4 linked regions of the Oryctolagus cuniculus genome follow. The protein of the gene in region 3 purifies or fractionates together with the protein of the main gene of each other region. This does not show direct contact. Links are inferred from orthologs where the notes say so. Each region holds a gene or a part of one and is shown on either strand. Other genes may lie near its edges. The genes, in order: ZNF451, TOP1, TOP2A and CTCF.

Region 1 (7,823 bases), on a different chromosome or scaffold from region 3:
TTATTAAGTTCATATGAGTACTGAATGTGGATGATTTAAACACATACATACATACACACACACACACACACACACACACACACCCCTATAGCATAAGGGACAGTCAGAAAGGCTGATCAGCAGATATTAATAACCTGTATCTTAATCATAAACCCTAATATATTCATGTACACATACTCATATGCAGCTCTTCTTACAAACAGAATTTAAATAGAGACAAAGCAAGCCATAATAGGTTTCACACTGTAACTTATAAATGAAATGTTCCCCAAAACAGTAGCATAAAAGAAGGAAAAGAATATTAGACTAGTATGATAAAAGTAAACATTTAAGTATTTCATAAGATATTAAATAGATGTTGCCAAGGTTTGGGGAAGGAATGGCAAAAGAGTGAGGTGGGGGAAAGCTTTTTAAGTAAGTTCAAAATAAAAAGTAGATGAAAAATTACAGAATTAGAAGGTAACATTCATTATTAAAATATAAGTATTATATAAGGCTCATTTTCCTTTATAATCTTGCACATTCCTTTAAAGAATCCAGTTGGGCTAACAGATCTTTGACTCCTAATTTCAAGATAATCAATCCATTATAAGTGATTAGAGCAAAATTTTTCATAATGGGCCTTCCATCAAAATATGGTGCCAAATATACAGAAAGAAAAAATAGCGTGGAGGGAAGCAGAGTTGGAAAAGTGAAAGGCAAACAATAAAAATGACAAAAAGTAGCCACTATTTTTCATTGTGGTCATTCATCAATTTCTTCCATTCTTATTTATTTGTGGTTTCAAATACTAATAATTCAAAAATTAACTATTCTTATATTCTCTTATGCTCAAATTCCTTTGAGAAATTATGAAAAACAAAAACTTATGAATCCCTAGAATTATATCCTTTCTTCAGTACTGGTCAGTGAAACTGGTCATCAGCATTCTTTTCATGGACCCATTCCACAAAAGAGGAAAAGAGAGTGCCAGTCCCAGCAATGTAATAAGACAGGAGCTACTCATCCCTTCCAAGAACCTAAAAGCCTATCAGAACTTTACTTTCTCACTATCAACCTCTTAAATGGTCTTTCTCTTTTCTTGGTATTGCTATATTATGACTTATTACTTTTTGGTTTTCACCTAAAAGACTTTGCTTTCTAAAAAACTAATGGAATTTCAGGAAAAAAATAAAATCTGAATTGTAATATATATTTCAACCCATCAATATCTATTTTATATACCAATAAATATAATTTTATCTAATAGCTTAAAAAAATCTCCAAAACATTATTGTGCATTAAAAGCTTTCCTCTAAAACACTAAAGAATGAAAGCGAGATAAGGAAAAGACCAGTAAGATAGAAGCATGTGAGCAGGCAACTGTTTACTAGTGGACAGCAGTTTATTGGTTTTTCTCAGCAGTGAAGTCTCCTCCTCTTGGGCGGTTTGCACTGTGACTGCGGCTGCATACCTTTGGTGGTATCAGATATGCTATTTAACAAGGCACACATCATATCTCCCTCTAAGTGGTGAGGGTTTAGTATATGAGCTGGCCTCTGAGTCTTCTTAAATTGATTCTCTAGTTCCAGAAAACCTTGATCTCCTGAGAGGATGGTGAAAGGAATTTGCTTGGGTAGTTGTTCATCTAGACGGCCAGCCTAAGTTGGAACAAATGGCATAGATTGATAAAAATCAGCATGAGTCTCAAATCGCTTAAATCTATTTCATAGTGAACACATACCTAAGAAGGCAAATTAAGCTAGTTCCCTACCTCCCACAGAGTTTGATATAAAGACCCCTTCATTAATGAAATGTCACATTTAATTACATATAAGCATCCAATAGTTATAAAATAAACTACTTTATCTGCCACTAATAAAAAAAGAAAAACCTAAAATAGAACTCCCATAGGAGGGCTCCCACATTAAACTGGAAAGCCATAGTAAGTGTAACTAAGAAATAAATCTGCCATAGAGGAAAAAGTAAGCAAAATATTTTGCATACTTCAATCTTGGTACTGGATAAGATGGAAAGAAATCTCTTGCAATTTAAATCATAAGCAGCAGTCAACAAGTCTGCAGAGTAAATTCACATTAACAGTGTGACAAATGTAAGCTCTCAAGCAGAGAGTTTAATTTAAAGTACGTCTTGGGTTGGCAGTTTCTCTATGTGACTGGCAGACAGAAATAAACATCAACATTAGCAGTGACTGTGAAAGTATCTCTAAATTTCAGAGATGTTAAATTAAAACTGTCTCAGTACACGTTCAGCACAGATTATCTTTTATTTACTCCTAACACAGATGACAGTCTATTATGCACAGTGGAAGGTCAGTGGAAGGTCTGCTAGGAGTTGGGGACAAAGCAGCCAAAAAAAATATGCGGGGCTTGTGCAGCAGCGTAGCGGGTAGCACCAGCATCCCGTACAGGCACCAGTTTGAGTCCCAGCTGCTCCACTTCCAATCCTGCTCCCTGTTAATGCACCTGGGAAAACAGCAGAAGACACCTCAAGCCCCTGCAGCCACATAGGGGACCCAGAGGAGGCTCCTGGTTCCTGGCTTCAGATTAGCCCAGCTCCAGCTGTTGTGGCCATTTGGAGCCTGAACCAGCAGATGGAAGATTTATCTGTCTCTCCCTTTCTGTAATGCTTTCAAATAAATAAAATCTTTAAAAAAAAAAAAAAAAAAGGAAAAATGCCATGGGCTCCTGTTCTCACTAGTAGAATACTGATACAGAATGTTTTATTACAAAAATATACTACTAAAGAATGATCTACACATTGTCATTACAATTCAAGTGGGAAAAAAATTTAAGGAGGTCATCTTAGATTCCCATTAGATTTTGAATAAAATAATGACTCACATGCATACATATGGCAAAATCAGCAGCATCTTTTCTTTTACTACAGCGAGGATGAAGGAAGAAGCATCCAATTCTGTTCAGGTAATTATAAATTTTACAGTTGAGTGGAGGCTTCCAATTGGTGTTTCCTCCTGTAAGTTTTAGAAAAGGCATAAGTGACAGTAAAACAGGAAGAAAAGACTAAAACTAGTATCAAATGAAAACTTAAACTAAAAAAATATCTTTCTAGAGGGAAAGTACTAGATAAAAATGTAGGAGAGGCTGGCGCTGCGGCTCAATAGGCTAATCCGCCTGCAGCACTAGCACCCCGGGTTCTAGTCCCAGTCGGGGTGTGGGATTCTGTCTCGGCTGCCCCTCTTCCAGTTCAACTCTCCGCTGTGGCCCGGGAGTGCAGTGGAGGATGGCCCAAGTTTTTGGGCCCTGCACCTGCATGGGAGACCAGGAGAAGCACCTGGCTCCTGGCTTCAGATCAGCGCGGTGCACCGGCCGCAGCGGCCATTGGAGGGTGAACCAACGGAAAAGGAAGACCTTTCTCTCTGTCTCTCTCTCTCACTGTCCACTCTGTCAAACAAAAAAAAAAAAAAGAAGAAGAAGAAGAATTCAGTCTTAGCAGAGAAATCATCATCCTGGGAAAGATCAACTTCCCTGAATCTGCCTTCTCATCTGAAAATTCATGGGGATACAAAACAGAATCAAAAGGAATGAGTGTGAGAGTGTATGTGTATTTCTGTGTGTGTGCAAGCAGGTACACATGTGTGTGTGAAAATTCTTGAACAACCATTAACATTTTGTTATTTTATGCCAAGGCTGTTCTGTCAATAAAAACACAGGAAATCAGCAGAGCTAGACTTAAAACATTATAATGGCTATCTTATCTAGATTAGTATGTTTCTATCTTTAATTCCAATCCTCCTCTTTACATGCTACTGCCTATCACACATGAACTATATCAGATACTCACATACTAAACCTCTGTAAATCAATGGTTTGTAAAAAGATTTGGATTAGATGAAGCTGCACACTACAAACAGCAAGAATGAACTGTGGAAGCAGTTGTGGCATGTTGAAAATACTAATGGTCCTGTAGCTAAGAAGCCAAAGTTTTAAATCTAACACTGTCATTTACTTTCTTCTACTTTAAAAGACAAAAAATGATAATTGATATCCACGTTAGTACCAAGCAACAGTGCTGGAATACTATAGGTATATTTTTAAAAACAATTTTTTATTCATCTATTTGTTTATTTGAAAAACAGCTAAAGAGAAAGAAGGAGAAGACAAGATCTTCCATCTGCTAGTTCACTCCCCAAACGGCTACAGTGGCACAAATGAGCCAAGATGAAGTCAGGGGCCTGGAACTCCATCTAGGTCTCCCACGTGGGTGACAGGAGCCCAAGTACTTGGGCCATCATCTGCTGCTTTTCCAGGCACATTAGTAGGGAGGTGAATTAGATACCGAGCAGCAGGGACTCATAAGTGTGGCAGGCAGCAGCTTAAACTGTTCCAAAGCCAGCCCCAGTGTAGGTGTTGAATAAACCCTTTTATAATATATATCTTAAGATCTGCAAACCATTGGTCAACAAAAATAGAGCTAATGTTAACTATGGAGACATGTAGAGAATATGCTAGGAAAGTAACTACATTGCAAAGTCACAATATTCTATTTATGGTCTTATGATCTATTCAGGAAAGTTCAAGAGGAGTCTTTTAAAGTTAATCATACTGTAAGGGTGATAGGGGAAAAGGCTTTTCTTATTAATCATACCTTGAAAGCCCCAAATAAATGTTCCTTGGTTAAGATGCCCTGGTAGATGACCAAAGAAGTTTGACCAGTTATCAAAATCTACAAAGACAATATGAGTCATGGTTCGCAAGTAATCCAAATCTGGAAGCTCAACAATTTCTTCTTCTGAGAAAAAGGAAACATTAACATGAATTCAGTAAAAGTTTGGTATAAACATTCTAATTCTCAAATCTAAAAAATATTAGCATAACAGGCAAAAACTATTAACCTTACAAGTGATTCATCTCAATTTAAACCTTTTCATTTTACCTGTATCTGTATAGACATAGTTTTCACTTAGATAATGTTGAAAGCACTTCAGAATTTTGATTATATATCTTTTCTACAAATATCTGCCATTGATGCTAAAGCTTTTAAGTAGTCATTTGTAAAAGAAAATTTTTTTTAAATTAATGTACTCTAGGAACTAGAAGATCTATTTTTAAAGTTAAATAACCAAAAACTTGTATCATTCATCAATGTAAAATTCCAGGGTTACTTGCTAAGAAACTTCTTGCCACCGGAATTTTTTTTTTCCCAATCTATACTGATTTATTAATCTAGACTGACTCTATGATTAAACACCCAAGAGAGCAGAAATAAGAAAACCTACAACATTGTTGCCATAAAGTGGTGCTAGAAATAGGTGCCAGTGGCACATTAACATCTCCCACCATAAACATATCTTGGTTCTCTCAGGATCTCAGTTCATCTTCCCTCATTCTCCAACTCTTTCTCCCTCCTCTTTGCCTTGCTTCATACTTTTAGACCTTGACATGGCCTTAAAAGTTTCCAGCCACAGTAGTGCAAACTTTAAAAAGATTAAGTTATTTTTAAAAAGAATAGATTCTATTATGCCTAATAGAGGTTCCTTCAAATATACTCTCTCATTTCTAAGCTACCTTACATCCTTTCTCCCAGTTCTCAGCAATTATAGATTTAGAGATTCCAAAATCTCTGTCAAACAGATTAACACAAATTCCCAAAAGTACTCAAAAGAGCTGAAAAATGCATTAGAGAATATAAAATGGTGTGACCACTGTTTGGAGTGGGTCATATATGACTTAATTCTTTCTCACTGAAAACATACTTTAATTAAAGGTGATGCTGAGATCAGATATGCTAATGAGCAAAGTTACATAAATTCAATGGTTCATTGTATAACTCACTGAATTAAAAGTTACTTAAAGGATACAGACCTAAAATTATAGTCTAAACAAAAAACAGTTATCTTCTAAACAAAATTAAAACATTACACTCTTCTAGACTTATTAACCTATGACATGGAAGAAGGAAAATCAGATTAAGTACAAGAGAATTCAAATCTGTTTTACCCATGATTTCTTACTACTACTTTTAACTCTACTTTTAATTGTTATTTTTAACTATATTGTTAAAAGCTTTGCTTCCAAATAAATCATAACAGAAATATATACAAATGCCAAAACTGTTTTTGTCATATTTAAAGATAAGGACAATAGAAACAAAAAGAATTCATCAGGTTATCTTTTTAATATATCTAAATATTTGCAAGATTTTTAAATATATCTGAACAATGTAAGATTTTTAGAAAAATCTAAGTGATGATAATGACCAGAATAACTTTCAAATCTGACTTTCAGTAAGATTATCAACTTCCTTCATCTCTCAAAATCTCCTTTTGTAAAAGAAAATATCTATAATACATTACTTAAACACAACATATACTATGTTTAGAAAGTGAAGTAGTAAGACTATGTACCCCTAAAAAGTATATACCGCAGAATAATTAACTGACTAAAATATCATCCTCTCACGTATCTGGCTTCACAACTGAATCATCAGCAGTCTCAAAAATGATGGGTCCACTGCATGTACTTTTATATATTAGAAAGTGAAATTTCTAGAGTTGTAAAGCCATACCTATATTCTGACAGCTTAGGTCATTATCAGTTCCTTTCTCCATGTCTGAATTTTTAGGATGGCTTACTGCCTGTTTCAATTTTCGCTCCATACGTGAGGCAGCGGCAGTAAACTTATACAGGTTTGCTTTTTCAGATCCAAAATGAGACACATTGGGTTTCTTTAAGAAGCAATGTTTTCTATGGAAGTGCTGCTGAGCACTCTCAGGATCATGAAATGCTTTGGTGCAGGTGCCACATTTGATCATGTACTGCTGTTCCTCCCCATCGTCATTCTTTTCTTTCCCATGCACTTGATGGATATGAGCATTCATGTTGGCTAAATTCTGTGCCGTTGCTGAACACGAACTGCAGCGAAACCACAGTTTACCTTTGTCCAGCATCATCTGGAGACATCTACTATAATCTTTTCTTCTGTTGACTTTACAGATGTAACTCTCATGACAACCACAGGTTAACAGGTTGCTGGTCTCTACTACTGGAAAATCTTCCTCAGTTTTAATCGAAGTTTCAATTTTTTCTGACACAAACACATAATCTATGCTGTGACGCTCTTTATAGTGATTCAAAAACGCTTCCTCCACATTAAAGACAAGATCACAAAGCCCACAGAAGTATTTAAGCTTTATATCATTGTCATGTTCATCTTGGCAATGTCGGTATAATGTTTCTACCTTATGAAAAGTCTTTCCGCAATGGGCACAGCTGTATCTATGAAACTGGTGACTTGACAAAGACATGCAATGCTGTTTTACACATTCTTGGGAATCAAACATATCTTCACAAATTCGGCATTGCCATTTGCCCCTTGGAGGACTGTTTGATGGGGAATGATCAATAATAGTAATAGCTGAAGAAGGCTTGCTTTCAGTCAAATGATTCACTAGTGTGACAGAGGATGATGGCAAAGTTTCGTCTTCCATCTCATCCACCTCATAAAAGTATCTGTGTCCATTATGAAATTCAGTCACATGTGCCATGATAGCATCTTTCTTTATTAACTCTGTTTTACATGTCCGACACCAGAAAAGAAAATTATTCAAATGTGCCCCTCCATGAATCCGGCTCATGTGTAAACGGATGACCCCTGAATCTTCACATACCTTTCCACAGACCACACACTTGTAACACATGGTATTTGCTGCAAAAACGTGTTTTTCCACTGCATCTTCACTGGGGAATCGTTGGTTACATTCACAAAACCAGGTTTTAACTGTTGGCTTTTGTTTCTGGGTACAAACCACACTTTCATGGCTTTTATCTTCTAAATTCATCTTCTTTTTTGGAATGGTACTG
Region 2 (6,693 bases), on a different chromosome or scaffold from region 3:
AAATACCTTGGGCAAAAAGAAAGATGTAGTTTTCATAATACCCAAAAGACCCAAAATCCTTATGATGGGAAAAAAATCCAGTCTAAACTTAAATAGAAAGTTCTTGCTGTCATTCATAACACATTTGCCTCAGATTTTGACTCTGTCTTGAGTGCAATAACTACCGGTAAAATCTTGGGGAAGACACATTATGTATGTTCTTTTGGCATATAAATTCTTAAAGGTATAAGGACAGAAATCATCATGGGCAGAGAGGGCTTACAGATTCTAAGGATGACTTTCCTTTTCCTCCCCCCCCACCCCCGCCCTCTTTTTTTAAGATTTTATTTATTTATTTGAGAGATAGAGTTACAGATAGAGGGGGAGACAGAGAGAAGGGTCTTCCATCCACTGGTTCACTCCCCACATAGCCGCAACAGCCATAGCTGGGGAGCTTCTTCCGGGTCTCCCACATGAGTGCAGGGGTCCAAGCACTTGGGCCATCTTCCATTGCTTTCCCAGGCTATAGCAGAGAGCTGGATTGGAAGTGGAGCAGCCGGGACTAGAACTGGCACGCATATGGGATGCCAGCACTGTAGGCAGAGGATTAACCTACTGTGCCACAGTGCTGGCCCCAACATATAAACTCTTCATTCTTCTTTTCTTTACAGCGGATGAGAACATCCCAGCAAAGATCCTTTCTTACAACCGTGCCAATAGAGCTGTTGCAATTCTTTGTAACCATCAGAGGGCACCACCCAAAACTTTTGAGAAGTCTATGATGAACTTGCAATCTAAGGTATTTTGGATATGGGGTATTAAAGTGAATGAACCTTGTCTGCTGTCGGCAAACCATCTGCAAATCAGAATTTTTTTTTTAATAGTCTATCCTTTTATGATGCAATATTATCAGGCCAGTTCTGTTCTGAAAGAAAGGTCCATGCTAAAAATAAACAGGTGGAAATATTATAATGGTTATTATCCCTGTCAGGATTCCAAATATCAGGATACCTGTTGTTCAGGAAATCTGATCTATGGATAGAAATTCCACATTGGCCACGTGTTGTTTTCAAAAGCTAACTTTGATGTACCCTCTAATTGCTAATTGTTGCATGAGGAAAATAGTTATAAAGAATTTTCATAGTTCTTGCCACAGCTCAGAAATACAACTATTTCCAAACTAGATTGTTTCAAATAGAAAAGATGATGAAACAATGATATTTAAGTTCTCAGTAGTCCTAGCACAACTATTTTTATTGTTACACGTTCTACATGAATCATATTTTTATTTATAGTTCATCATCAAACATCTGTTGAATACTGGCTGTGTGCCAGACAGAGTTGCTGCCTTAGAGGGAGAGACTGACGTGCAAACAAGGAGATGCTGTTCCTCTTCCGTGTGCCTTTCTCCTCCCTACAACTCTGCCTGGTACTGAGCTTTTAAGCCACTAGGCACTTAACATTTGATAATGAGCATTTCTGTCTTTGCAATAGCTGCATAACTAACCCATCCTAGTTTGCTAACTCACAGTGAGCATTTACAGATATTTCACTGTAGAATAAACACACAGGGTTCCAGAGGAAACCAATTATATCAAATACAGTTACTAAATGTATGTAAAGTCTTGGTTCTGAGTACTGTAAATTTCAAGGTAGTAATGAATATAAATATTAATTCAGGATTTTTGTAACAGTTGTGATATGAAAATATGACATTTATTGGTGGTAATAACAGGTACTACTGATATTATTATAGTTCATTGCCCACATTAATATTTAAGAAGAAATACTAAATTTCAACTAGAGGTTAAGGAAATTACAGTGTGTGTTTTTTTGGTTTTTTTTTGAGCCAAGTTTGTGAAATTTAAAAACTGGTTTTATGGAATGTGACTTGTACATTTTCAGGCTCAGAGTATATTCCTTCTATTTATTTCTCAAAGATAAGTATCCAGAAGTAGTACATCTGGGTCAAAAAACAGATACAGCCTATTTATGCTACAGATGCCATCTGGCTGTCCCAAAGGGCTGTACATGTCCATGATGAAGGAATATACGTGACTAAAAATCCTTGAACCATGTTGGTGGGCAGGGAACTTTATATAGACTGTCCATCCTAGTAGCACCCATTTGCTGCCACTCCATTAGCTGGTGGTCATCTAGTATTGTTTATTCTTTTCATGTTATTCCAAACCAAAAATAAAAACATAAATATTCAAGTGCTATTTACCTAATTCAGGAGACCCTCCCTGGAGCATGAGGAGGCCTTTTGTTGCTCTCATTCTGAAACCACTGTTTGGGCAGCCCAGGCTGCCTGCCAGACGAGCCCTCCAAGCCCAGGAACTCCTGTCCTATGTGCCCACAAAGCAAACACACGCCCCTGTTCTCCAAGTGAATCAATGGATTCTTTGACGCTTTGAGAGAATTTGACACAGCCTGCCAATTTAGCATTCACATAAATGGTTAAAAGATTGTGGTTTGCTGCATTTCTAGCCTGAGAAAAATCTGGCTTGTGGCATCTGTGATGCTTTTGTATTTAGAATCTATTCCCTCAGCTTGGCTTTGGACAACATAGATGTTGGAAGCGAGCCATTCATAGTAAAACATATTTAATGATTCTCTCACAATGATGGCCTCTGTTTTTAGTCATGAGCTGTGTGTGTTTGTGTGTGTGTGTGTCTAATAAACAATTCTAGACTCTGAGCAGTAGGCCAGTGTGTGTGAATCAAGCATGTATTTATTTTCTCTGTGGAGGTTCTGTTGACCTCACAGGTCAGCAAGGTGACTGCAGCTCTGGGGTTCTCCTGTCCCTAGCAGTTTGAGGCCACTGGTTTGGACTCTAGCTTCATGGCATTACCTGCTGTGGTTTCTAAACAAAAACCAAGAACTTAAATTCCAGAAATGCTTCAAGGATTCCAAAAAGCAAGAAAGACTCAAACAACTCTTATCTCTTCCTTTCCACCATATTTGATTTGAGGAAGAAGTGTCAAAAGTTAAATATTTTCATACCTCTTACTTTTGAGTTATAACTTCCCTCCCATCTCATCTCCTTTTCAAAACAGTGCCAGAACCAGGCCATGCTTGTATTGATTTGGGATAGACTGGCCGAGCTGCTTATTTCCTGTGTACCTTTTAATTGCCATATTTTTAGCTTCTTGGATATTCTCTTCAGTGCATTGTTTTTTCTTGAGAAGATGGCAGCTCTGTTGCAGAGTGCTGGTAGAAGCTGAATAGTGAAGTGCTCTTATTATTTGCAAGGATTATGCCTCAGCTTCTTCAAAAATAGCTCCTCCTTGTAGTGAAGCCCAGAAATTGGCACAGGACCCATTTGATAACAGCTGTCATCTCTAGCCCTTCTTATGATGCTCTGTCATTGAAAGATTAGCATCCAAAAATCCTGGTCCCACCAGGCTCTCTTCCTGAGCTTCTGGACTGATGAGGTCCCAGGTTATCAGTTCTCAATCAAGCCCTTTTTCTTGAAGGTTCCCTGGAGAAAATACATGAATAATAAACAGCCACTTAACTCAGCAGTCACTGTGTATTTCCTCTGTACTTTCATGAAGCCACTCTGGGTGTTTTTACCTGGCAAACCACCGAGAAAAAAAGAGCGAGCCTGCCTGCTGGAGATTGCTTCCAGGTTTCATCTTCTGTGATGGAGCCCTTCCCTTTTTCCTTTTTGGCTCACTTCACTCCTAACCTTACTGTGTTCTTCTCTACTCAGATTGATGCCAAGAAGGAACAGCTAGCAGATGCTCGGAGAGACCTAAAAAGCGCAAAGGCTGATGCCAAGGTCATGAAGGATGCTAAGACCAAGAAGTATGTACCTGGTACTGTGCAAAGTTGGGAGGGTTTATTATTAATCAGAGGTCTAGCCCCTCTAGGGACTTCTGGAATTTTCTGTGATTGGATCTTTTGTGGTTTTACTGCCCTGAAATGGCAGTGTATGTGTGTTTCTGTCCAGGAGCCAGGCCTTGTTCTTGATGACTCTGTTTGATTTTTCCAGGGTGGTAGAGTCAAAGAAGAAAGCTGTGCAAAGATTGGAGGAGCAGCTGATGAAGCTGGAAGTCCAGGCTACAGACCGAGAGGAGAATAAACAAATAGCCTTGGGAACCTCCAAACTCAATTATCTGGACCCTAGGATCACAGTGGCTTGGTAAGCATTGTGCATGTCTTGCTCTTCTGCTGACTGAAGATGGCGGAGGGGGTTCTGAGAGCATTGTGGGCTGCCACATGCCATTCTAAGCAACACACTTGTCCTCTGGGGAAACTTCTAACTTCTGCCGTGTACTTGGTGCTCTGGCTGCTAAATCTTGTCTAAATAACATTGGAACATCTTGGATGGTCAATACTGTTAGACCCACTTTGAGTGTATTTATTTTCTATTTTTCTAAGGTGGCTATCATCCTTATGAAATTTTTGGACAGGAATGGAAACTATTAATTTATTTCCTTGAAAGAGTTAGAGAGAGGCAGAGAAAGAGATCTTCCATCTTCTGGTTCATTCCCCAAATGGCTGCAACAGCTGGGGCTGGGCTGACCCGAAGCCAGGAGCCTGGAGCTTTTCTGGGTCTCCCACACGGGTGCTGGGGCCCAAGAACTTGGACCATCTTCTGATGCTTTCCCAGTCCATAACAGAGAGCTGGACTAGAAGTGGAGCAGCCAGAACTTGAACCAGGTCCCATATGGGATGGCAGCACTGCAGGCGGAGACTTTACCCACTGTGCCACAGCGCTGGCTCCAGGAATGGAAATCATTTGCCCTTACTGAAGGAAAAAATAGAAGAGCTTGTCCATCTACACTTTCATAACTTTTCAATGTAATCTTTGCAAGTTGAGGAAGAATGGCAGGAAAAAGTATAGAAATGAGAATACAGATCTGAACAACCTACACAAAAAGGTATAGCAAAGGCTTAAGTTCTCTGTGCCTGCACTCACACCTGTTCTAGGCCAGAGGTTCCACCCAGATTTTTTACCCTTTTTGCTTAGTTTGATGTTACAGGAGAGGTTTAGTTAGCTCTTAAGAGGCAGTATCTATGGTACAGTGGTAAAGAGCCATGCTGGGTTCAAATTTTAGCTCCACTACTTACTAGCTGTGGCACATCTGAACCTATACTTCAAGTCTCGGCCATTGCTCTCTGAATCACACTAATTCCCCTTCTCCTTTGTTTGCAGGTGCAAGAAGTGGGGCATCCCAATTGAGAAAATTTACAATAAAACCCAGCGGGAGAAATTTGCCTGGGCCATCGACATGGCTGATGAGGACTACGAGTTTTAGCCAGTCTGAAAGGGCAGGGTTCTGTGAAAAGGAACAGTGTGGTTTGGGGAAGATGGAAAAACTGTGAGCCTCACTTGCCCTCACACTTGAGGGAGAGAGGCAGCAAGTCTTAACAAACCATCTTTGCGAAAAGATAAACCTGGAGATATTATAAGGGAGAGCTGAGCCAGTTGTCCTATGGACAACTTATTTAAAAAATATTTCAGATATCAAAATTCTAGCTGTATGATTTGTTTTGAATTTTGTTTTTATTTTCAAGAGGGCAAGTGGATGGGAATTTGTCAGCAATCTGCCAGACAAATTCACTGTTTCACTGAAATGTTTGGATTCTCTTAGCTACTGTATGCGAAGTCCGATTATATTGGTGCGTTTTTACAGTTAGGGTTTTGCAATAACTTCTATATTTTAATAGAAATGAATTCCTAAACTCCCTTCCCTCTCCCCTGTTTCAGGAATTAAAATTAAGTAGAACAAAAACCCAGCGCACCTGTTAGAGTTGTCACTCTCTATTGTCATGGGAATCAGTTTTCATTAAACTTGAAGCCGTCGTGACATCGGCAGTGTTTTGGTTCAGACACCTATTCACAGAAAAGCATGATGGGAAAATATTTCCTGACTTGAGTGTTCCTTTTTAAATGTGAATTTTTATTTCTTTTTAATTATTTTAAAATATTTAAACCTTTTTCTTGATCTTAAAGATCGTGTAGATTGGGTTGGGGAGGGATGAAGGGCGAGTGAGTCTAAGGATAATGAAATAATCAGTGACTGAAACCATTTTCCCATCATCCTTTGTTCTGAGCATTCTCTGTACCCTTTAAGATGTCCCATCTTTTTGTTTTTAAACCCCAGTCTTTCACTTGAAAGATTTTATGGTATAAAAAGTTCCACAGGTCAGTAAATTTAGAGGAAAATGAGTATTTGGTCCAAAAAAAAGGAAAAATAATCAAGATTTTAGGGCTTTTATTTTTTTCTTTTGTAATTGTGTAAAAAATGGGAAAAAACATAAAAAGCAGAATTTTAATGTGAAGACATTTTTTGCTATAATCATTAGTTTTAGAGGCATTGTTAGTTTAGCGTGTGTGCAGAGTCCATTTCCCACATCTTTCCTCAAGTATCTTCTATTTTTATCATGAATTCCCTTTTAATCAACTGTAGGTTATTTAAAATAAATTCCTACAACTTAACGGAAATTTAGTGTCTGCCTCTTTGTTACCAAGGGCCCCAGACCAGAATTAGGGCCCTGGGACTGCGACTTAGTCTGGAATTTTTTTTTATTACTGAGGTCAGCAAAGTGGGAGCAGATGGGGTCTGGCCTAGAAGGGGGTATATCCCTCCTGCGATGGATATGAGGTGAAGGGGATCCAGACTCCACAGCTCTAGATAAGACAGGCAGGCCTAGAAATTAAGGGAGGTACAGAAAATCCGCAAGAACTATCTAAAAGTC
Region 3 (7,823 bases):
ACTTCTGCCTCTCTGTAAGTCTGCCTTTCCAACAAATAAATAAATCTTTAAAACACAAACACACACACACACTTCTAATAAAAAAAGTAAAATATTGGTCAAAAAAGGGTAGGAAAAACCTAAAAAAATTAGGTTTTGGAGCATTTCAGATAATAGATACTTAAGCAAAAAAACCTGCAAATATTCCAAAATATGAAAAACTCTGGAATATGAAATACCTCTAGTCCCAAATGTTGCCAGATACTATTTGGCAATCAAAAAAGAAAGAATGGTAGGCTTTAGGCCACTGTGGACCCAGGGAGGTAGTGGCGATAGTGCAGACAGGTACTTCTTGTCACCTAGTGGGAGACTGAGACGGAGTTCTCAGCTCCTAACAGCAGCCCTGGGTAGTGATGGAGTCAACTAATGAACGGGAGCTCTCTCTCTGTACCTTAAAAAACAAAACTAAACAAAAAAACTGATATATGTTAACACATGGATGACCCTTGTAAACTTGTCAACTGAGTGAAGTCAGTCACAAAAGACCACGTATCATCTGATTTTGTTTCTAGAAAACATCCAGAATAGGTATATCTAGAGTCAGATTTTTTTTTAATGGTTGCTTAGTGGGAGAGGGTGTTTTGGGAAATAATGAGTACTGTTAATGGATACAGTGCTTCTTTTTAGGGTAATAAGTTGTTATGAAATTCTTTGGCTCTGCTAAAAAAAAGTGAGTGGTACACCTAAAATGGGTGAAATTGGTATGTGAATCTTTCTTCTCAAAGATTTATATACTAGAATCTTGAAATTGGCCAGTAAGTGGCATATCATTGTTTTCTTAGATTCCCAACTAAGGAATTCAAATTACAATGTTAAACTATTTCATTCCAAAATGATCTCTTCTAATATGAATCAAATCCAAAGGTCAATATATAAGGAAAATTCAAGTATACGTCAGACATAGCTTTCCTTCAAGTTAGTAATTCAACTCAACAAAAGCATTTTGAACATTTATGTGCATTTACTAGACAACAAACACAATTTAATCTTAACTTTATACCATTTTCCCTAAATGTTATTTATTATACCTGGTTCTCTTTTCTGTTTCTTCTCTAATCTTTGTTTTAAGTCTTCTAGTTCTGTACCATCTTCCTTAGGGCTTCCTTCAGTATTTTCACTCTAAGATAGTAAAAACCAGTTAAGTTCTGTCACCTTATTATTTAGAATACTATATATCAAATACATATATATATATATTTGCAGAGGAGCTTCACATAGGTCCATGGAAATTTTGCAATATTTTTTTAAAAGACTTTATTTTTATTTTTTGAAAGGCAGAGTTACAGAGAGGCAGAGGCAGAGAGAGAGAGAGAGCTTTGCCATCTGCTGGTTCACTCCCCAAATGGCCATAACGGCTGGAGCTGTGCCGATCTGAACCCAGGAGCTAGGAGCTTCTTCTGTGTCTCCCACGAGGGTGCAGGGGCCCAAAGACTTGGGCCATCTTCTACTGCTTTCCCAGGCCATAGCAGGAAGCTGGATCGGAAGTAGAGCAGCTGGGACTCAAACTGGCATCCATATGGGATGCCAGCACTTCAGGCAGTGGCTTTACCTGCTATGCCACAGTACTGGCCCCTGATTTGCAATATTTTAAATTCCATTTTCTAGTTTTTGGAGCTCCTTTATTTGACCAAAGGCTATTGTTTACCTTGGGTTTTGGTTAAAAGCTCTGAATAAATGTATAGGTGTGAGTTTTTCATGATTCTTAAACATGAAAATAAAAGCAATCATGGGGCAGTGTTTTGTTTAAGATGCTGCTTGGGACACCTTGATTGCATATTGGGAGTGCCTGGTTTGAGTCCTAGCTCCTCCACTTTTGATCCAGCTTCCTGCTAATTAATGTGTACCTTGGGAGGTAGCAAGTGATGGCTCAAGTAGTTGGGTTCCTGTCCACCCATGTGGGAGACTTGAGTTTTGGACTCCCAGCTTCTGGCTTGGCCCCAGCCATTGTGGGCATTTGGGGAGTGAACCAATGGATGGAAGATCTCTGTCTCTGTCTCTCCTTATCTTTCAAATAAATTAAAAATAAAATACAGGGGACCAGTGTTGTGGTGCAAGGAGTTAAACTGCTTACTTGGGACGCTGGTATGCCATGTGAACTGCTTCCAATCCAGTTCCTAGGTAACGTGCCTGGGAAGGCAGTGGAAGATGGCCCAAGTATTCATTCCCTACCACATGTGGGAGACCTGGATGGAGTTCCAGGCTCCTGACTTATGGCCATCTGGGGAGTGAACCAACCGATGGAATCTCTCTCTCTTTCTCTCTGTAACTTTGCCTTTCAAATAAACAAATCAATCTTTAAAAAAAAAAAAAAAAGAAACAAAAACAGTTGGGGGGCCAGTGCTGTGGTGTATTGGGTAAAGCCACCACTGCAGTGCTGGCATTCCATATGGGTGCCGGTTTGAGTCCAGCTGCTCCACTTCTGATCCAGCTCTCTGCGATGGCCTGGGAAAGCAATAGAAGATGGCCCAAGTGCTTGGGCCCCTGCACCCATGTGGGAGACCTGGAAGAAGATCCTGGCTCCTGGCTTCGGATCGACGAAGCTCCAGCCGTTGAAGCCAACTGGGGAGTGAACCTGCGGATGGAAGACCTCTCTCTCTCTGCCTCTCCTTTTCTCTCTGTGTAACTCTGACTCTCAAATAAATAAATAAATAAACAAATTAAACACACACACACACACACACACACACACAGAGTTGGTTCTTATAAACAACAACCAGGCACAATAAGAAAGGAAAGTTATGGTTTAGATGTATAGTAAATTCTAAACGATGGGGGTTAGAAATTTAATAATATAATTTGTTCAACTTTAAGCAAAAATATACTTAGTTTATATTTAACATTCAAGAGTTTACCTTAATTTTCCTTTTGATTTTCTTTTCTGCTTCTGCCTTCATCTCCGTGGTCACTCGAGGAATGACTCTTTTTCCCCGTGGAGAAGGCAAAACTTCAGCCATTTGTGTTTTTTTCCCTTTTGCTTTCCCCCCTTTCCCAGGAAGTCCTACTTGCTCATCTTGTTTTTCCTTGGCTTCAACAGCCTACCAAAGGGATATAAGTAAGATTATAAGCTAAGACATCACAATTATCTAAAAGGTATCAGGTTATACTGATTTCAATTTGTTGTATCTTTTTTTTTTTTTTTTTTTTTTTTTTTGACAGGCAGAGTGGACAGTGAGAGAGAGAGAGACAGAGAGAAAGGTCTTCCTTTGCTGTTGGTTCACCTTCCAACGGCTGCTGCGGCCGGCACACCGCGCTGATCTGAAGGCAGGAGCCAGGTGCTTCTCCTGGTCTCCCATGGGGTGCAGGGCCCAAGCACCTGGGCCATCCTCCACTGCACTCCTGGGCCACAGCAGAGAGCTGGCCTGGAAGAGGGGCAACCGGGACAGAATCCGGTGCCCCGACCAGGACTAGAACCTGGGGTGCTGGCGCCGCTAGGCGGAGGATTAACCTACAGAGCCACGGCGCCGGCCTCAATTTGTTATATCTTAAGATAAATTTGTGGTAATCTGTTTAACAACTAAGAATAACATCAAGCACAGTGGAGATAAGAAGCAGGCATTCAGCCCGGTGGTAAAGAGCCCACGCCCCACACCACGCATGCCTAGGTTTGGTTCCTGACTGCAGCTTGCTGCTAGTGCAGAAAGGCCTGCTGATGGCTCAGCTAGTTGGATCCCTGCCACCTGTGTGGGAGAGCTGGGCTGTGCTTCCAGTTCTTGGCTCCAGCCTGGCCCAACCCTAGCCCTTGTAGGCATTTGGGGAATGAACCAGAGAACAGGGTAACTCTCTCTATACCAAAAAACCCATACCACAGTAGTAAAGATATGATTAATGGTCACTTTGAAAAGTGTAGGGACAGATTGGATTATTTTCCTGATTCTGCCACTCAACCTTTCTGAGGGTAAAAGGGGGAAACTGAGTTAAGGATAGAACATATACATGTATCTGTAAATGCAAATATAAGAAAGGATGTGATATCAGTAATATGCACTTATCCAGTCCACTGACTACAATGATTTGGTTATTTACACTAAAGCTTATGCATAAACATGTGCATTAAGTTTATAAAACTGTAGCAAAGGATCTTATGAGGCTGTCTACCTGGTGAGCCCAGAAGACGAGCTGGCCTTGTCCTCACGCTGACCAGGAGGCCGCAGCTTGTCCCCACGTTCCTGCTGTCTTGCTCTTCTTAGCTGCAGCAGATCCTTCCCTTTATCAAAAACCAACTCCGTCCTTTCCTCTCTCTGTCTAAAAACCGGGTTCCCAGCACATTGACTTTATTTAATAATTTGTTCTCTTATATATTATTTATAATGTGTCCTTATATCCTTTATATTCTTTCTATTGCTAACTGTGTAACTTCTTGTTAAGGGAGTATATTATTAGACTACATGATTTCATTAATAAACATTTTAACATGGGCATTATAAACCACATACCTCCAGTTCTTCAATAAAAGCAGCCAGGTCTTCTTTCCACAAATCTGATGGGCCCTTTCTCTTTAATGTTTCCAGCTCTTGCTCCTTTATAAATAATCAGGAAACTGAGTTAATATATATGTACAAAAATAGATTTTCATGCAGCACACAAGCTTTAGTCTTAATATTAGAGCAAAATTAAGTAATATGCAACATCCATGTCCTATCAACAACTTACTTTTTCGTTTCTTTGTCTGCACAGCTCATCTTTCTTTTCCTTGGTTAGATACCAAAGGGGCATATCAAGCAGGTAGTTGAAGGTTGGCCCAGAATCTGTTACAGAGTCACTTTTTTCAGTTTCCTTTTCAGTGTCACTCTCTTCATTTTCTTCTTCATCTGGGACCTAAAGTATGAATCAAAAGGTAGGTTTAATAAGAAAGGTAAAACATAAACATTATACAAAGTCTTTAATGATATATGAAACCAAGTGCTAAGCAAGAAAGTACCTTTTGCTGGGCTTCTTTCCAGGCCTTCACAGGATCCGAATCATATCCTCTCTGAATCAGAACTTTAATTAATTCTTTCTTAGGCTTATTTTCTATTAAAATATAAACAAAGATAATGAAAAAAAAGTTTTTCCATGACAGCGGAAGATAATGGTTTTCAGCAATATTTCAGAAAACAGACAAGATTTCACTACGTTGGCTGGCGCCATGGCATAGTAGGTTAAATCTCTGCCTGCAGTGTCGGCATCCCACATGGGTGCCGGTTCAAGTCCCAGCTGCTCTACTTCAGATCCAGCTCCCTGCTAATGGCCTGGGAAAGCAGTAGAAGATGGCCCAAGTGCTTGGGTCCCTGCCACCTACGTGGAAGACCCAAATGAAGCTCTTGGCTCCTGGCTTCTGATCAGATCAGATCAGCTCAGCTCTAGCTGTTGTGGCCATTTGGGGAGTGAACCAGCAGATGGAAGACCTCTCTGTCTGTAACTCTGCATCTCAAATACGTAAATCTTAAAAAAATTTTTTTTACTACACTAAGCCAAAAGAGTAAAACTGGAAATTAAGCTATATTGTCTTGTATATATTTGCATATCCTGATATAATAGACAAGTCTTCCTAATTCATTGACAAATGGAAATTACCACAAGGGGGCAGTCAAATCACATGAGGTCAAGTTCTAATAACTTGTAAGATCAGAAGAGAACAAAACCTCTATTTCTGATAAGACTCTATCTCAATTATACCCTTTGGTTTTTATTTTAAAACTTGACCAGGCAAGTTTTAGTACCACCCAACCAAATGCTGATTTCTCTTAACCATGGTTCTCCAGGATGTATTTGCTCCTTTTTTCTGTAATACTTCTCTTTCAATGTCTTCTGTAGTCTATTTATTACACTTGAAGGTATACTGGGAGTTACCAGCTAGAGTATGAGTTTTGGAGTACCACCTTTTGTTAGTTAATTTGACATAGATTACAACTTTAGGCCCTCTAATATTCACTTATCAGGAAGACTGGACAGTTGCTAGTATTTCCTGAATTCCAGTCACTGAGTATAAACTTTTTTCTTCAAATCATATTCAGTATTACTCACTTTAGCCATGCCTTAAGCAATAACATCTGTGAAATAAGAGGGCTATAATGCCAGTGTGATTTCTTTAATTATACATGAAAATGAACATATAACTATTAAATATTTTTATTTACCATCATAAAATTAGCCTTTGATGATCAGTCACTTGTGTTAGTATATTTTGAGACTTGCTTGTTGAGACTGTTTTCTTCCTGGTCACTTAAACCCTGACTTTGTTGTTTCTAAATTTTTAAGGCCTTAAAATTTTTAAAATTTGCTTGCATTTATTTGAAAGGCAGAGACGCAGAAATGAAGTGGTTCCCTTCCTAAATGTCCACAACAGCCAGGGCTGGGCCACACTGAAGCCAGGAGCCAAGAAACTCATTCTAGATCTCCCATGTGGGCAGCAGACACCTGAGTACTTGAGCCATCACCAACTGCTTCCCAGGGTGAACATCAGCAGGAAGCTGGAATGGAGAGCTGGAGCTAGGACTTGAACCCAGGTACTCCAGTGTGGGATGTGAGTGTCCCAAGTGGTGTCTTCACTACAGAGTCAAATGCCCTCCCCGGCCGGCGCCGCACTCACTTGGCTAATCCTCCACCGGTTGCTCCTCTTCCAGTCCAGCTCTCTGCTATGGCCCGGGAAGGCAGTGGAGGATGGCCCAAGTCCTTGGGCCCTGCACCCTCATGGGAGACCAGGAGGAAGCACCTGGCTCCTGGTTTCGGATTGGCGCAGCGCGCTGGCCGTAGCAGCCATCTGGGGGGTGAATCAACGGAAGGAAGACCTTTGTCTGTCTCTCTCACTGTCTTAACTCTGCCTGTCAAAAAAAAAAAAAAAAAAAAAAAAAAGGCAAGCCCTCCCCTAGACTTTCATTTCCTTCCTTCCTTCCTTCCTTTCTTTCTTTCTTTCTTTCTTTCTTTCTTTCTTTCTTTTTTTTTTTTTTTTTTGACAGGCAGAGTGGACAGGGAGAGAGAGAGAGAGACAGAGAGAAAAGAAAGGTCTTCCTTTGCCATTGGTTCACCCTCCAATGGCCACTGCAGCCGGTGCACTGCGGCAGGCGCACCACACTGATCCGAAGGCAGGAGCCAGGTGCTTCTGGTCTCCCATGGGGTGCAGGGCCCAAATACCTGGGCCAACCTCCACTGCACTCCCGGGCCACAGCAGAGAGCTGGCCTGGAAGAGGGGCAACTGGGACAGAATCTGGTGCCCCGACCGGGACTAGAAGCCGGTGTGCCGGCGCCGCAGGGCGGAGGATTAGCCTAGTGAGCCGTGGCACCAGCCTAGACTTTCTTTAAACAAACAAAACTAACCTCAAGACTTGACTCTTAATAGTTTTGGTTACATAATATACTTATAATGTAAGCCATTTGTAAGTTCCTTCCTGATTTCTTTTTTCTATAGACATTATCTCTTCTTTTGATCATCCAATTTACACAAGATAAACTAGCTCCTTATTCTCTTCCTGTCTAAATGTCAACTAAGTTTTGATTTTGCAAGATGCTTAATCTAGGAAAAGCTTGTTCTTTGAAACTGTAAATGCCTATTCAGGTATTTAAAAGAAATGCTTGTATAAGTAACCAGGTGAACCAAATGGATTTTGCCCTCCCTTTATCAATGTTACTTTCACCAAAAATATTTAAAGAAAGTTAGCATAACCACAGTTTTAGTAGAGGCAGTCATTGTTCCAAAAACATACCAATGATTATTTTGCCATCTATTTTCTCTAGGATAAAACGAGCCTGATTGTTCAGTTTAGCAGATTCAGCACCAAGCATTCCTAGAAGCCACTCTTTTCTTAAGC
Region 4 (6,934 bases), on a different chromosome or scaffold from region 3:
TGTGCAGCGGGCACCCGCTCCTCGGGCGGACCACGGAGGCCGGCCACTGCCCATCCACTTGATGCTCTCCTCACACCCATTTTTGCGGAGTTAAATGTGCAGCAGGATGCACTCACAATCCTGACATCCTCCAAGATAAGATCCTCTCCTTCTGCCCGAGAGGAAGCACTATCCCAGGAACACAGCCTGCCTCTAAGATGCGGAGGCCGGCACGGCCTGGAGCTCTGCGCCAGCCCCTCGGGGGGCCAGCAGGCAGGAATCACACAAGACAAGAGTCCTCGGAGCACTTGTTAATCCGTTATGATTTATTAGCTGTACAGCAGTAGATCCTCCTCCCCAGCTTTCAACCCCATTACATATTTTATTACAGGTCTCGTGTTGGCATCCTAAAATAATGAAAAATATCACACAGTACAGCTAAGTACAAAATGCATCAACCTAGAGTCTGATAGCTAACTGATGGCTCTCTTAAAAAGCAATACACAGAAGAAAAAAAGTGTTTGAAATCAGCAAGACTGAGGCTCTCTAAAAAACACATTTTCAACGTGTGACAGTTCATGTGCAACAATCATTTTTTAGTTGGTTTTGTTTCACATTATTATTTGTTTTTGAAGATCCAAAGTTTAAATTACTGACCTAGTGAAAATTTCTGGCCCAGCATGTCAGGACTGCTGTGACCCACTCATAGTCACCCTCTGGCTCTGACAGGGGATTCGTAAAACGCAACATTCTGCTAAACATAGCAAAGAAAATGTCAATGGGAAATCATAACTGAAGGTTAATTGTACAAAGTTCAAATGCTGGCTCCATGGGCTGGAAATCATGATCTTCCATGTGGAGGCTCGTCACTAGCGGGCGGCAGGCTGGGTGCCGATCTGCTACATGATTGTGATCCAATTCCTTTAATAATTCCACACTACCAAGTCTGTGGCAACTTAATTTGCAAGTAATTAAAATGCTGGGTTTTCTCACACTGCACTTCTTTTCAACCTCTTAATTAATGGAAAAGATTAAAATGTAAAAAAAGTTATTTACAAGCTTGACCATACCAGAAACTCTGCCAAGAAAGAGGCAAAGCGTTCAGGACAGTAACCGATCGTAGCATGCCGTACTACTGGTGTGCAGCTGACTCGAGCAAGGAGTCAGAGAAAAAGCAAAAGCAAAAAACAGGTTAAAAGTCTAAGGCCTCCCCAAGTCTGCATTTACAATTAAAAACTCTCTTGGGAAGAAGACCAGAGAACTCTGGGAAACCCGGCAGCCATTCTGGAGTGGTTTACCGTATTGAGAGAGAGGGGCCAATGTCTCTGTTTCCGTCTCAGAAACCAGTCAGGCGTCAACACTGCCCTCAGCACTTCACAGTAAACCCGCAGGGACTCAGACATTCCATGATTTGTTAACATCAAACAGCAAGTTCTAGTTAAATCACATTTTTCTAACATCATCCTTGAAGTTTTCGTTCTCAGTTTGTTTGGTAAAATGGTGTAAAAATGATGCTTTTCCCAAAGCCAAAAGAAGAAAAAAGGGAAAAAAATTAAGATGTGGGCCGTTTAAACACAGCCCAGAGCAGTCCCGGCGCCCAGCAAGGCCCCACCATCACCGGTCCATCATGCTGAGGATCATCTCAGGCGTGAGGTCGCCGTTGGGGGCATCTGTGGCAGCTGGCTGGGCCTCCTCCTCCTCACCCTCCGTGGGTTCGGCGTCTGGCTCTTTTTTTACCTCCACTATAATGTTCTCAATTGCACCTGTATTCTGGTCTTCAACTTGGATGATGGCTGTTGCTGGCAAAGAGGAGCACAAAACAAAACAAAACAAAAGGTACATTAAAGCCCCCAGGAGTACAAGACCCTGTTACACAGTGCAGTCCACGGGATAGCAACATACAGGGAGCCTTAGTAGTGACACGGAGAAAGTCAATAAAGCAGAGACTTAGAGAGACCCAGAACATGGACACACAGAGTCCCAGTTCTCTGAAAACCATCAGAGCACAAAAGGCTGACATTCACGTTCACACGCCTCCCAAGTTACACGTAAAAATCCTTAGTTTTAAGTCAGAAATTGATACTATGAGATGCAGGCAAGAAATGAGACAGCATGTGACTAAGGCTACTTGAAGAGTGTGTGACGTAGGTGACACACCTACGACAAGCGGACATTTCTGATTCTGTAGTTCTCCCACACCCAGGCCCTCCCACCTGTCTGCTCACTCCAGTGTGTGCAGAAGAAACCGGAGAGCTGCTTCTAAGATCTGCACTTAACCTCCTTTTCTCTGACAGAACTCTATTCTTGGAGCTCAGGGAGAACATTCAAAAAATAATTAAGGGGCTGGTGCTGTGGCGCAGTAGGTTAACGCCCTGGCCTGAAGCACTGGCATCCCATATAGGCACCAGTTCGAGACCAAGCAGCTCCACTTCTGATCCAGCTCTCTGCTATGGCCTGGGAAAGCAGTAGAAGATGGCCCAAGTGCTTGGGCCCCTGCACCCACGTGGGAGACCCAGAAGAAGCTCCTGGCTCCTGGCTTCGGATCGGTGCAGCTCCTGCCATTGCGGCCAATTGGGGAGTGAAACATCGGATGGAAGACCCCTCTAACTCTTTCAAATAAATAAATACATCTTTAAAAAATAGATTAAAACATCCATTTGTTTATAAAAAATGGTCAGCTTTCAGAAGCTGTTCCAACTGTCAAGAGAGCCATGTGGCTAGCAGAATGCAACCTGTGATCCCCTATAGACTGCCGTCACCTGTGAGGTGAGCTGGAGGCCAGTGCCCGAACACACCTGGATTCACACGCCCCTCTGCAGGAGGGGCGATCCTAGCACAGAAACTGCGTGCACCTCATCCTCTGTGACTGGCTCTTTTACGGTTCAGCACTGGAGCAATTCTGCCAGCAGACTGTGACTGTGGTCTTCTAAAACCCACCCACAACAGCAACACCCACCTTGGAGAACACGAGTACCCTTTACTCTGGACTCTTCCTCCTTGAGATGTAACAGGCCTCTGAACTTCCTCAGTAAAAACACCTAACGAATCACTTCCTGAAGAATCTGTTCCCACTGTGACCTAATAACTTGTTCTCGTGGCTCCGTTCCCATCCCCTCAAAGAAACAAGGCCCCGTCTGGCACCCTCACATGCTGGGGGGAAGGTGCCAGCCTGCCAAATGGAAACTGGAAACTTACGCTGGTTCTGTTTGGGCTGGTTGGTTCTGCCAGGGGGCCGTCCTCTCCGCTTCTTGGCGGGTGGTGGGGCTGGGGTCACAGGCTGAGGCTCTGGCTCGGGTTCAATTTCTACAGCAGGTTCCTCCTCGTCCTCATTGTCATCCAGATCTGGCTCAGCGTTTTCTTCTCATGAAACAGGAAGCACAGATGGTAGGGCAGGGAGAAGAGTGGGGAACAACAACCACCACAAAATTATATACTCTGTGGAGTCTTGTTATGGGGGTACTTCAAAAAGTTCGTAAGTGAATGGAATTAAAAGATTTAAGTCTACTTTGGTACAAAAAATTCTGAAATCCACGCAATGTTTTGTCAAACAATTTCATGAACTTTTTAGGGACATGTTTTATGTATTTCTGTTAAGAAAAGACCATTTAAAAAGCTTTTGCTGGAAGTTTTGCTATAAACATTAAAGCAGTGAACTGATGGCCAGTGTTGTGGTACAGCAGATTAAGCTGGTGCCTACGACGCCAGCATCCCATATGAATGCAGGTTCAAGTCCTGGCCACCCCATTTCCAATCCAGCTCCCTGCTAATGTGTCTGGCAAAGCAGTGGACAATGGCCTGAGGTCCCTGGCTTCAGCCTGGCCCAGCCCCAGGCCACTGTAGTGGGAAGTAAACGAGTGATCCCTTTTAGATTTAGACCTCAGAATATGGAGTTTTAAATTGTTACAGGCAACCCAATCTTATATCAGTTACATAACTATACTACAAAAACCATGTTGAAATTAAAAATGAAACAAATGTCCCCTGTCTCCCACAGCAACATAAAACAGGACCCTGTTCCTCCTGAGCCTGAGGAACCCGTGCAGATGTGGTCCCCTCATCTGAGCAGGGGAAAGACTGTGTATCTGGGGGCAAGATAAAAAAATTTTTTTAAAGATTTATTTCATTTATTTGAAAGGCAGAGTTACAGAGCAAGAGATCTTCCATCTGCTGGTTTACTGCCCAAATGGCTACAATGGCTCAGGCTGGGGCAGGCAGAAGGCAGAAGCATCATCTGGGTCTCTCATGTAGGTGCAAGGGTTCAGGCACTTGGGCCATCTTCCACTTGCTTTCCCAGGTGCATTAGCAGAGAGCTGGATTGTAAGTTGAGCATCTGGGACTCAAACTGGCATCCATATGGGAAGCCAGCATTGCAGGCTATGGCTTATTTGGCTATGCCACAATGCTGGCCTCAGAAATTCTTTAATTTAAAAACATTTATTGGGGCCAGCGCTGTGGCACAGTGGGTTAAAGCCCTGGCCTGAAGTGCCAGCATCCCATATGGGCGCTGGTTCTAGGCCCTGCTGCTCCTCCTCTGATCCAGCTCTCTGCAATGGCCTGGGAAAGCAGTAGAAGATGGCCCAAGTCCTTGGGCCCCTGCACCCACGTGGGAGACCCAGAAGAAGCTCCTGGCTTCAGACTGGCGCAGCTCCTGCTGTTGCGGCCAACTGGGGAATGAACCAGCGGATGGAAGACCTCTCTCTGTCTCTACCTCTCTGTAACTCTTTCAAATTAATAAAATAAATATTTTTTAAAAAGTTTTATTTATTTGGAAAGCAAAGTGAAAGAGAGATAGAGGGATAGATATATAGATAGGTAGATCTTCCATCTGTTCATTCAACAGCCAGAGCTAGGTCAGGCTGGAACCAGGAGCCTAGGATTTCACTTGGGTCTCCCACAGGTAGGCACAGACTCAGGTACTCGAGACGCTATCTGCTGATTCCCAGGGTCTACATCAGCAGGAAGCTGGACAGGATCCAGAGCTGGAGCTGGAACCAGATTCTCCAATATGGGACGTGGGTGACCCCAGTGGTGTCTAATGGCTGTGCCAAACAGAAATTCTTGATGCATTGTGAGGACTTATTTACTAGATTGAGTGGCCAGAGTTCTTTGGGGGATTATTGGTAATTTTCTTTAAAGGCCACATATTCAAGACTTAATTTAATCCCCAGATGTACCAGACACAACAGGCCATTCTTATCTCCATTAGATTCTCCCTATACCCTACTCTTGGTGAAATAAATGGTAAATAAAAGTGAAGAAACTACTACAGGAAAAATACGGACAAGGAGCTACGTAAGAGACACATGACCACCCTGACACTCAGTTTCCTTGGGTAATTTCTGCAGCATCAACTTTTTTTTTTTTTTTTTTTAATTTGAAAGGCAGTTATGGAGGCAGAAAGAAACAAACACACATACACAGAGAGAGAAAGATCTTCCATTTGCTGATTCACTCACTCTCCAAATGGCTACAATGGCTGGGGCTGGGCCAGGCCAAAGCAGGAGCCTAGAGCTTCCTCAGGGTCTCCCGCAAGCCTCTTGGCCATCTGCAGAGACTGATCAGCAGTCTACTGCTGTGTTCACAGCCTTCTGCCAGAATCTCACCAAGTTAATAATAAGCAGAAGAAAGCACACAAAAGTTAACTGGTTTGAAGGCTTATTATTAACTTGGTGAGATTCTGGCAGAAGGCTGTGAACACAGCAGTAGACTGCTGATCAGTCTCTGCAGATGGCCAAGAGGCACAGCTTTGGGACAGGACAAATAAGATGGAGTGGCCCTTGTCAGCAGTGGGATCCAGTCCACACTTCCATTTTCTGGGGACATAAAGAGACACAAAGTCCTGAACCAAAGTATGTTCTTCTAAGCACACCTCCTGCCTGGATTTTTAGGCCCAGAAAGGCACGAAACACCCCCAAAAGCACCAATGGTAGGTGAATAGACAAGGTTTTAACTTACAAATGGGGAGACTGAAGTAGAAGTGAAAGCTTGACTTTCACTAACTTGATCAACACCATCTCAAGACCTGGCTGCCAAAGGCAGGCAAAGGAAAAGTTAAGAATCTTAAGCTCCCTTTTTCATGTCCTACATTAAATTCACTGCTCAAATCTAGACCAGCTTTGCAAATATAAAAGTCATGAGCATAGAAAACTCTGCTGATCTTAGAATATTGACCGGAGTAAACTGAATATTTATTAGTTTCACTTTGGGTTTAATTGAACATAGCATGTAAGACATCAATAAGCCCTGAAATGCGGTAAGGAAAAAACAAATGAAAATTTGTCCCCTCAAAATACTAACTGCTGTTGTATTGGGAAGAACAAAAGTTTAGAGGAAGTAAGTGTGATTTGTCCACCTCTACATGATGATGTAGCCATATGTAAATCTATTGGAAACTGGGCTTCACAATCAGTCAAATAAAATGGAACCAAATCAATTAATAAGTCACTTACCACTGTCAGAGGAATCTTCTTTTTTAGAGCGCATCTTTCTTTTTCTTCCACGTTTACTCTTCTTTGTTTCTCCTCCATTCTCCCCTTCTACACCATCTGGACCAGCACAATTATCAGCATGCCTTGCCATGGTATTCTACAAAAGGAACAAAATCCTCTTTCACACTACTAAAAAAGCTTAGATCAGACTGGAAGTTCTTTTTCAGTTAAATTTGGGGTATCATACTATTCCTGTCAGTTCTGAGAGAAACAGAAAAAGCAAGAGAGAGAGAATGGATGAAGATGAGGTTGGGTCCTGTAAGGGGAGACTCAGCAGCTTGTAGACAGACAGGACAGTGGGGCATGAGATCAGTTCCTGTCCTGGCAGGTGTGACTAATCACATGACCCCAGGGGCGGACACAAGGCACACTAAAGCTAGCTAGGGGTGAATGCGGGACAAGTTTCATGCACCTAAGGAAATGCCCTCATACCAGCACACCCATTATTCAGGACACTGCGTTTCCCA

What was found.
Region 1: the proteins of TOP2A (region 3) and ZNF451 purify together in Homo sapiens (affinity purification with mass spectrometry; 3 studies listed by BioGRID and IntAct, with this or other methods). This does not show direct contact. The link is inferred for Oryctolagus cuniculus from reciprocal best matches to the Homo sapiens genes TOP2A and ZNF451.
Region 2: the proteins of TOP2A (region 3) and TOP1 purify together in Homo sapiens (co-immunoprecipitation; 4 studies listed by BioGRID and IntAct, with this or other methods). This does not show direct contact. The link is inferred for Oryctolagus cuniculus from reciprocal best matches to the Homo sapiens genes TOP2A and TOP1.
Region 4: the proteins of TOP2A (region 3) and CTCF purify together in Homo sapiens (affinity purification with mass spectrometry; 3 studies listed by BioGRID and IntAct, with this or other methods). This does not show direct contact. The link is inferred for Oryctolagus cuniculus from reciprocal best matches to the Homo sapiens genes TOP2A and CTCF.

The regions. Positions count from the first base shown.
Region 1 is NC_091436.1:112,426,469-112,434,291, forward strand, and holds part of ZNF451 (E3 SUMO-protein ligase ZNF451), read right to left. Parts: coding exon 6,529-7,823; intron 4,753-6,528; coding exon 4,609-4,752; intron 2,975-4,608; coding exon 2,844-2,974; intron 1,641-2,843; coding exon 1,454-1,640; intron 1-1,453. UniProt on the Homo sapiens protein: E3 SUMO-protein ligase; has a preference for SUMO2 and SUMO3 and facilitates UBE2I/UBC9-mediated sumoylation of target proteins. Plays a role in protein SUMO2 modification in response to stress caused by DNA damage and by proteasome inhibitors (in vitro).
Region 2 is NC_091442.1:17,811,625-17,818,317, reverse strand, and holds the end of TOP1 (DNA topoisomerase 1), read left to right. Parts: intron 1-650; coding exon 651-778; intron 779-3,697; coding exon 3,698-3,792; intron 3,793-3,979; coding exon 3,980-4,129; intron 4,130-5,146; coding exon 5,147-5,249; 3' UTR 5,250-6,439; downstream 6,440-6,693. UniProt on the Homo sapiens protein: Releases the supercoiling and torsional tension of DNA introduced during the DNA replication and transcription by transiently cleaving and rejoining one strand of the DNA duplex.
Region 3 is NC_091448.1:22,087,598-22,095,420, reverse strand, and holds part of TOP2A (DNA topoisomerase 2-alpha), read right to left. Parts: coding exon 7,719-7,823; intron 5,050-7,718; coding exon 4,958-5,049; intron 4,855-4,957; coding exon 4,690-4,854; intron 4,557-4,689; coding exon 4,473-4,556; intron 3,075-4,472; coding exon 2,892-3,074; intron 1,159-2,891; coding exon 1,068-1,158; intron 1-1,067. UniProt on the Homo sapiens protein: Key decatenating enzyme that alters DNA topology by binding to two double-stranded DNA molecules, generating a double-stranded break in one of the strands, passing the intact strand through the broken strand, and religating the broken strand.
Region 4 is NC_091449.1:50,877,484-50,884,417, reverse strand, and holds the end of CTCF (transcriptional repressor CTCF), read right to left. Parts: intron 6,565-6,934; coding exon 6,429-6,564; intron 3,340-6,428; coding exon 3,175-3,339; intron 1,779-3,174; coding exon 1,594-1,778; 3' UTR 284-1,593; downstream 1-283.